2 linked regions of the Mus musculus genome follow. The protein of the gene in region 2 purifies or fractionates together with the protein of the main gene of each other region. This does not show direct contact. Links are inferred from orthologs where the notes say so. Each region holds a gene or a part of one and is shown on either strand. Other genes may lie near its edges.

Region 1 (4,459 bases), on a different chromosome or scaffold from region 2:
GGATCCATACGGTCTCAACCTCCTCGGGCCAGCGGCCTCCACCTGTGGGTCTGCCTCACCCATGGGTACCAAGAGAAGGTCTCTGCCTTAGAATGGGTCAGAACCTAATCAGCAGGATCCCTCAACCTGAGATCCACATGGGCAGCTCCTTGGCCTAGAGCTCTGCATTCACATGGAACTATTGTGGCAGACAAGATGCTTCACTCTGCTTCTTCGATGATACTGAGTCCCCAGAGGACACGCTTTGACCCACAGCAGGCACTGGTTAAAACTCAGCAAAAATGCCCACAGGCTCCGTATCATATATAAACCAAAACAAAACAGGGCGTTAGGATGATTTCCATCCCATAAGAAAGTGTGGAGACACAGGAAGGGAAAACAGCATCCACTCACCGCCAAAGTCCCCCCCCCCCCCCATGGCCTCTGCATCAGCTCCTGCTTCCTGGCCTGCTTGAGTTCCAGCCCTGACATCCTTTAGTGATGAACAGCAATGTGAAAGTGTAAGCTGAATAAACCCTTTCCTCCCCACTTGCTTCTTGGTCATGATGTTTGTGCAGGAATAGAAACCCTACGACAGGCCCTAAGTGTCAGCCTTATCCTGGGCCCCAGGATGGGCAGGAGAGAATGTCGGGATGGAAGTGATGGAATCAGGAAGGCAGGGAGATAGGGTACTGGGAATTTCAGGGACAGATGTAGCCACAGGGAGGACTGGCCTACCTGAACTACTACTCATTATTAGGGAGCCTGCTACAAATACACAGATTACTTTCTGGGGTGAATGTGAGAGGACAAGCAGAGGTAAGCCTTTAGGAGGCCCATGTAAGATCCTTAAAAAGCAGGTAGGGGCTCCAGGTTCTTGAAGTCCCATTCCCTAGACAGTTAGCAGATGCTGCTGTCTTAGATGGCATTGGGAGTCTCCAGATTGCCTGTTTTCCCACACTCCAGAGGAAAGACATGAGTTCCCCGGCCTCCCCATTGCTTCCATGCCCCAGGACTACAGTCAGTCACATACCTGAGTGTGATTACCTCTAGGCTGGGCATCTCCCGGCATATGGAAATCTAGGGAGGGAAGAACGGGGCCAGTGAGTTAACAATAGTGTGGTCACCTCGGGTCAGGGGACACATGTGTCCTGGGTCCTGTCACCTGTACTAATGGGGCCAAGGGGTATGGGCTTGCACAACCAGGGCACTCAGAAGAAATCAGCTGCATGCTGGTCTCTGTGGCCCAGCCTGCTCTTGGGGTGTTCTACACTGGGTGTTTCTACCTGGCAGTTTACAACAGTTCTGTGTCTAACACAGAACATCATTACAGTCAATACCCTCTGAGGACGCCTGGCCAAGGATCTTGTGGTTTCCCACCCTGAGACAGATACACAACCCTTTCTCCTTGCTGCCCCTGAGGCACAAAGAAAGGACAGACACTCTCCTTGCCAATGGTTCTGGGCTCAAGGCAGACAGAACTGCAGTTAAGTTTGGCCACGACACACCATCAGATCTGTGGATCAGACCTGGGCTGTGGGCTCCACAGTCCCAGCTGCCTGTCATTTCGGGTGGGGTTGGGGTGTCGCCTCCTGAAGCTGAGGAAGGCCATGCAGAGTGCCCCTGTTGATGTCCTTGAGGGAAATCACCACCAGGGACTCCTCTCAAGGCAGAGCTTTGACTCTGTTTTCCTCTGTGCAGGTCTAGCAAGTGACACGGCACTGAGCTGAAGATCACAGTTCTGTAACTTTAGCTATTCTTCTGGGGGAAGGGGCATCCGGAAGAAGATACAATCAAGGCAGAGCTTACATCTGTGAGCTGGCTGCCCCTGGAGAAGAAAAGAAATAGACTTTAATTTGTTGAATGAAAATATTTTAAAAATCCCCAAAGAAATGGCAATTGTCTATAAATCTAAAGATTCTACATTCGGAACAGTAAGGAAGGCTGGTTGCCCAAATAAGGGTGAGGTTGGTTTCTGCCAATACTCCCTGCTTGGTGCATGGGGGTACACAGTTTTCTCCTCTCAGGCTCCCATAGCAGAAAGCTCTTTCCAGTCACACACATAAACAAAGGGATCTTCATAAGAGGCCAAGCTCAAAGGCCGGTCATGCAACTTCTGAAGCAAACTTCACGGGCCTGCAATGTGTGTTGTTTCTGCTTGCACAGAGGAAGCCCTGATGTGCTCGCTGGCTCGACAAAGAAAGGCATTATTGAAAACCCAGGACAGGGAGGACTGTGGCCCCAACACCAGATGTGCCAGGGCAGGGAAAGGCTTTTAATTAACAAAGCTCACTCTTTCCAGTAGCCCACTGACCATTACTAGAAGCAGGGGTCTGCACTTGCTCTGCCACTGCTAAATGCTCTGGCCACAGCATCCCACCCCAGTCCCCAGAGACACCTGTAGCTCTTCCACACGCCAGATACAAACTCCTCCAGAAGCCCGGGGCTTTCAGTATTAGTGTGACTCAGCCATGCAACTTAGAGTGCATCCATATAATAGCATCTAAGGTCTAGGCTGTCACTCATACCAGGTCACCCTCTCCAGCACCGGATCATGACTTTACAACCTCAGTCTCTCCCTGTAGACATGCCACTAAGCACCTCTGTCTTCAGATACCAGACACAGACACAGAGGGTTAGCGAAAAGCCCTCAGCAACACTAGAGGGAAATTCTAGTTATCCTGCGAGGGCCGCACTCCTCTGAAGCACTGGCCTCAGAGTGAGCCTGCAACCTAGCTAGCCTGGGGTAGCAGGCGCTCAGCGCGGCCTCTGCTTCCTCCCGCTCCTGGCCGGCCTCACCAGCAGTTGAGCTTCCGCACGTTGTGCAGCTCCGAAGCCTTGGCTCGGGACAGGACCATCTTTCGTGTCAGCTTCATGGTGGCCACAGGGCCGCGGGCCCGGCCGCCCTCCGCTGTACACTCGGCTAGCGGGAGAGGCCTGCGCAGCGGCGCGTCTCCAGGGGCGGGGCCCGCGTTTCTAGGGGCGGAGCCTGAGGTCCCATTGGCAGTCAGGCGAGAGGGCGGAAGCGCGCCGGCGAAGCGGGACGGCCCGACTTCCGTGATACGCGATTCCGCCCCGCCCCTTTGGCGGCCCGCCGGTCCTGCGCATGCACGAGGCTCCGGGCTTTGCTGCCTGGGGACCGCTGGTCTCTGCATCCCGTGTTTGCGTGCGCGGGAAGGGCGGCCCTTAGGATTCCAGTGTGCAAGAGTCTGAGATGGGCTGGCTTGGGTGAGAAAGGCGCCGGTGTGTGAGGGACTCGGGACGCCTGGCTGGTCTCGGAGACATCGAGGACAGAAAAGGTCGAGTCGGGAAGGGTGACAGAGTCCTCGTAGTGGATGCCAGCAGAAACCCTCCTGGCATGCTTGCTCCGGATCCTAATCCCTGCCATGGCCCTGGTCACCACTGAGCCCTCACCCATTTCTGCTTGACCCCAAATCGGGGATTTGTGTTACATAACAGCTAATCCACAACCAGACGATGACTGACACTTGTAATTGATGCACTCAGAGGCTGAGGCAGGAGGATTGCCTGAGCCAGTTTCTGGCAAGACTGGCTCATACAGACATTATCTCAAAAGACAAAGCCGAGTAGTGGGGGCTTGGGGAGGGACTGAAGAAACAGTTAAGAGCGCTGGCTGCTTTTCCAGGGCACTCATATGGCCGGATCACAACCTTATGTAACTCTAGTTCCAGGGGACTCAATGCCCCTCTTTTGGCCTCCTTGCGCACCAGACAGGTCACTTGGGTTGCACACACATGCAAGCATAACACTCATATGTAGAAAAACAAAACGAACAAAACAAAAACCTTAAAAACAAACAAACAAACAAACAAATAGAAAATAGACGTTATGTTTTTGAAAGTCAGTACTGTGCCTGTGGTTGTCAGTGTGCATTTTAAGTAATCACAAATGAATTTTTGTTTTGTTTTCTTCTGGAGAAAACAGATCTCCAGAAGAAAACAAAACGAAAGATTGTAGGTTGAAATCTTCATATCTTTTTCTATCCTACAGATTACACCGGGACAGGCACTGGGTACTTCAGGCCCTTTAGGTAATAAACTGCCCTTGATGAAGTATTCTAGGGCTCTATTGTCTGTCTGACCACCCTGGTCTGCCTTTACCAAAAACAAGTGAAATGGTTCAGTAGGTAACAGTACTGGACGCACAAACCTAAAAACCATAGTTTGCACCCTGGAACCCACAGTGGAAAGAGAGCGGACGCTGAAGATTTAGCCTCTGGCGGGCCATTCATTACCATCAGGAACAATAAGGCCTGAGCTGAGAGATACAGCTTAGCCACCAGTGTGGTGGGAAGAATTTTATAGGCTCAGTTCAGCCACGTTTAAAGAGGTCTGCTGGCCGCTCCAATGGAGGCCAGAAGGACATGGATGATGGCAAAGGAGCTAAGACTTTGAGGAGTGTTTGACAGGAGGTGGGCATTGCCCACTCTGCCCGTTTGTCCTGGAGAGACCTGTGGTGG
Region 2 (4,412 bases):
TAAATTGTTATACTAGAGAACTATTTCACATGAAATGAAATAAAAGATAATAGAGATACCTTCTGCATCAGCTGGCTTTTTTATACAACTCAAGGCCACCTGCCGAAGGATGGCATCATTCTTATTAGACTGAGCTCTCTCTCTAGAACCAGTTACCAAGAAAATGCTCACAGACATGTCCACAAGGACAGATAGCCTGATGGAGATATTCTTTCAATTGAGAATCCCATTCTAAGATATATCTGGATTTGTATCAGGTTGGCAAATAACAAACACTCTATTTGGTGGCAAAAGAAAAACATATGTATATATTTATAGCTCCACTTATTTATATACATATTTATGTGTACACAAACCCACAAATATATAATACCTCTGTAAGGACACAAAATAAACTAATAATATTGCTTCCAAAGAATGAAAATTAAGAGTTGAGAAGTCTACAATCTTTTGTATTAGAATTAACTAGTCAAAACAACAAAATTAAATGTTAATCAGCCATGTATACTGATATAAGAATACAGAGCAAATCAGTTTCTCCTACATAAATTAAAAGAAAACAAAAATAACCAAGTTTATATGGAGAGAGACCGTGTGTGTGTGTGTTTGTGTGTCTCTACACTAAGAAGACTTGTGGGAGCTTGTTCTTCCACCATGTAAGTAGGTCAAGGGGACTGAACTACGGTCATTCAGGCATCAGGCTTGGTGGCAAGTGTCTTTATCTGCTGGTCCATCTCAATGTCCCTATTTAAATTTTGAACAGGATGGGGTTACAGGTTGGAGGCAGAAGCATCTGCCTACTATTCACCAGGCATCCTTGAACAATTTTCCATTTCCAAACACTTCACCTTAACATTTAAATTCATGCTACTACAATATCTTGTTTCTTTTTAAGTATATCAACTATGCTCCAGAAAAATATTCCTCAATTCCAGTCAAATTAGATAGGTACCTTTCTAATTTTCTAAGAACTGTTTCAAGTAAGTAGTGCTTGATAAATAACATGAACCACATATTAAAAGTTTCAGAGTACAGGAATTTTAAACTGCATCTCCATCAGTTAGGAAAACACTGACAGAGATTAAGCATTAGCTCTTTCAGATATTTGATGGATAGGTTATTCCAAAGGGAAACATTAGGAATAGGTGAGGCCTACTTCTAACAGATGCCAAGAGGTCTTCTGGTACTGTCTGCAGGCAAAATCTATACACACGGTTCTTCCAAAACAATAGAGACAACCTGAATTGTAGAAAACGGTCAATGTGTTTTCCAAGAAAGGAAAATTCTCTATTTTTTTCATTATGAGGAATCTCTAGAAAAAAAATAAAGAATTGCTAATATTTTTTAAGTATGTGTTTTCTTCTTGGTAAATATATTTAGACAATACCCAAGGAGTTTATAGTAGAAACTATCAACAAGCAAAAAGAAACTTCCTCTGTTGAAAAGCTATCATGTCCACGATTCTAGAAGGGTAAAACCTACTTGGAATACAGTGCCAATGCATTAGTAACACGACCTCAAAAGAACTGTGGTTAAGTCCCACAGCCTTCATCAGATTTCTGACAGACTTTCTTTTTCAGTGTAAAAACCAGTTTCCCCACAAAATCTGTTACTCTGGTTTCACCAGAACAAGAGGCCATTTTAAATGTAGACCTCTAGATCCTAGAAACTAGAAACAAAGAACTGCTTCTTTTTCCATCTGGCTGCTGCCCATCACCTCCACTTACTGCAGCATAAGCAAAGCCCATCACCGTGAAAGCTCAGATGGACTAGGGCTTTTAAGCCTTCACAAACATTTCCGATGTGATTTATGTAGGCAGTAAAAATATTTCTGCTTCTAGGGAGATCTTACAGGGAAGAATAAAACATTGGGCAGGGTATATAACTCAGTGGCAGATCACCTGCCTAGCAAAAATGAGTTCCTGTCATCCAATCCCCAAGACCCCTTCCCAAAGTTACACTGAATTATTAAAGTGGCAAAACTTTTAATACTTTACACGTGGAAATTGTGTCAAACCATGGAAAGCTTTAGGGTAACCAGTTAACTGCTATTTTTCTCATTAAAATATACAGGCATCTAATCTAATCTATTTAAGTGACTTATCATCTACTTAGATTAGTTTATCGTCTCTTAAGAGAGCGTTATCTTTTTAGAATACCAAAGAATTGCCTTGAGCCATACACAAGTCCTCCCCATTAACAACTTAAGGAGAAGGTGCTTTAGGCGCAAACACTTAAGGCGAGTATCCATGCACTCCACAGATCTATACAGGTCTCCTCACTCCCGGTGAGTTCACCATTCTGCTTGTCTGCCTGTCACTGCTTTCCCACGCGCAACTCACCTCAATGACACGGGACCTGAGTCAGAATAACAGTGGCGACCATAAGCACCGGTCTAGTGGCGGCAGTGTCTTCCTATAGGACTTAAGGCAGAAGCACCACGATGCATTTTGGAAATGACATGCTGTAAGAGAAAGCAAGTCTGTCTACCCAGCAGCCGCTCACAGCCCAGGCTGCGACTCCTACACCGGGCACCGGTCTCTGGCTGACGCGTCAGACTTGCCACCGTCGGGTCAGGCACAGTACTCCGCGACCCGCCCTGGCTACGCGGACGAAACAAACACAGCGGTTCCTGACCCCTTGGAAACGGCGGCTGCACAGGGGGAGTTGCTGGGTACCGCCCCCAACTTCACAGGTCGAGGTGGCTTGGCCAGGCGCGGACCCGCAGCGTGTGGGACTGGGAGGCTACCTGTCGCCCAAGTCCTCCCGCCTCGTCACAGTGACTATGGATTCCGGGGTGAGGGCAACTGCACAGGCTCAAGGTAAGGACGCTGCACGTTGCCGCCCTGAAACCATAGAGCTACTGCTGAGGAGAGGGGAACGGCCCTCGCGTCACTGTCGCTGGCGTGTGACGTCAGCGCGCAGGAGCCGACTTGTGGCGCTGCAGGGGAGGAGCCGGGATCTGCGGGGGGCGGGGCCAGGCGAAGCGAACGGACTGTACGTGCGGGGCGGGGCTGGACTAAGAGTGATGGGGCGGGGCTCCGGGGAAGGGCGGGGTTACGGAATAGGAAAGCTAGTGGGACCCGGCTCTCAGCCAGCAGCTGAGCTAGCGGGGAGCGTGAAGGACCAGAGGCCGGCCTAGAGGAGAGAGAGGCTAGGGAGAGGGTGCAGTGAGTGGGGGGCCTGTGGTAGGTAAAAGCTAAAAAGGGCGGTTTGGGAGCGGAGCGTAGCAAGCCGGGGATGGGTAGGGCAGAATCGGGGACGGGGGAATGGGGCGGGGCATCGTCAAGGGGCGGGGCCATTGGAATATGTTTGGGCCAAAAGAGCTAGGAAGTACTGGGACTAGAGAAAGGACTGGGCAAGTGCATTGGTGCAAGCACCGGGGACTGGGGGCGGGGAGGTGGAGACTGGAGCAACTTCAAGAGTTAAAAACTCCAAGCACCAAAGGGAGAGCGTGAGGTACTCCAAGCTCAAAGGAGCATGTGAAAGACGGGTGTCGGTAGAATAAAGTAAAACCGGAAAGAATTAGGCTGAGTGAAGGCGGGAATTTCGCTCAGGAATCTGACTCAGACTGAAGAGAGCATATTAACAACTTTTTCCCACACGGTACACAGATAAGGTACTTTTAATTTGAGCGCTCATTACTTAACTGAGGATGCCAAATATTTACAAGTAATTTTTCTTTAAGTACAATGCCCTTTAAAAAGTTATTTTAAGGGATGGCTCAAACAGCTCATCTCTGAAGACAGAAGACCAGGGTTCTGGGACGCAAACCTTGGTCTGGTTAACTCACCTGTAACAACTTCAGGAGCATCTTCTGCAAGCACCGGGACCTGAACTTATGCACATATCCACAGTTACTTCGTGAACTTAAACGAAGCAGTTTTATCTTTAATTTTTAGAATACAAAGTTACATTACAGTGTCCTACACCTTTATGTTTACTGTATATACACTTTATACTGAAGGGACTGACGATGTACAGTAGACTAAAAATCATTCGATGCAGGAATTGAAACAGTTGAGAACAAGCCTGGTGTCATCCCGAGTAGCTCTACTCAGTGAGCTAGAGGATGGCACTCTAGAAGTCCATACTTGAGGCAGGAAGAGGATAGTGTCTTTGTATACAGCCATAGTTGCTGTCCACATTGTTCCATTCGTGTGAATGGAACACTACCGAGGCTGCATAGACCTTGCCTAAGATCTGTAGACAGTTGATTTCTCTTTTCCATCCTTTCCCCATCCCACACACCCAAATCGACTTTTCTAGGTTCAGGAGCTTATAATTCTTTCCAGCTTGGAAATGGACAGATTAAGGGCTTCTTTGCCAGATGGTGACACTGCAAGTTACCTAAGCTAGTACATTAAACAAATGTTGAGAGTCAGCTCTTGTTTGTTTGGTTTTTGTTTGTT

Evidence for each region.
Region 1: the proteins of Nek1 (region 2) and Cfap410 purify together in Homo sapiens (affinity purification with mass spectrometry; 3 studies listed by BioGRID and IntAct, with this or other methods). This does not show direct contact. The link is inferred for Mus musculus from reciprocal best matches to the Homo sapiens genes NEK1 and CFAP410.

Annotation. Positions count from the first base shown.
Region 1 is NC_000076.6:77,977,101-77,981,559, reverse strand, and holds the start of Cfap410 (cilia- and flagella-associated protein 410), read right to left. Parts: upstream 2,911-4,459; 5' UTR 2,856-2,910; coding exon 2,779-2,855; intron 1,808-2,778; coding exon 1,789-1,807; exon of another isoform or gene 1,509-1,788; intron 1,060-1,508; coding exon 1,013-1,059; intron 1-1,012. UniProt on the Homo sapiens protein: Plays a role in cilia formation and/or maintenance. Plays a role in the regulation of cell morphology and cytoskeletal organization. Involved in DNA damage repair.
Region 2 is NC_000074.6:60,991,694-60,996,105, reverse strand, and holds the start of Nek1 (serine/threonine-protein kinase Nek1), read right to left. Parts: upstream 2,914-4,412; 5' UTR 2,343-2,913; intron 1-2,342. UniProt on the Homo sapiens protein: Phosphorylates serines and threonines, but also appears to possess tyrosine kinase activity. Involved in DNA damage checkpoint control and for proper DNA damage repair.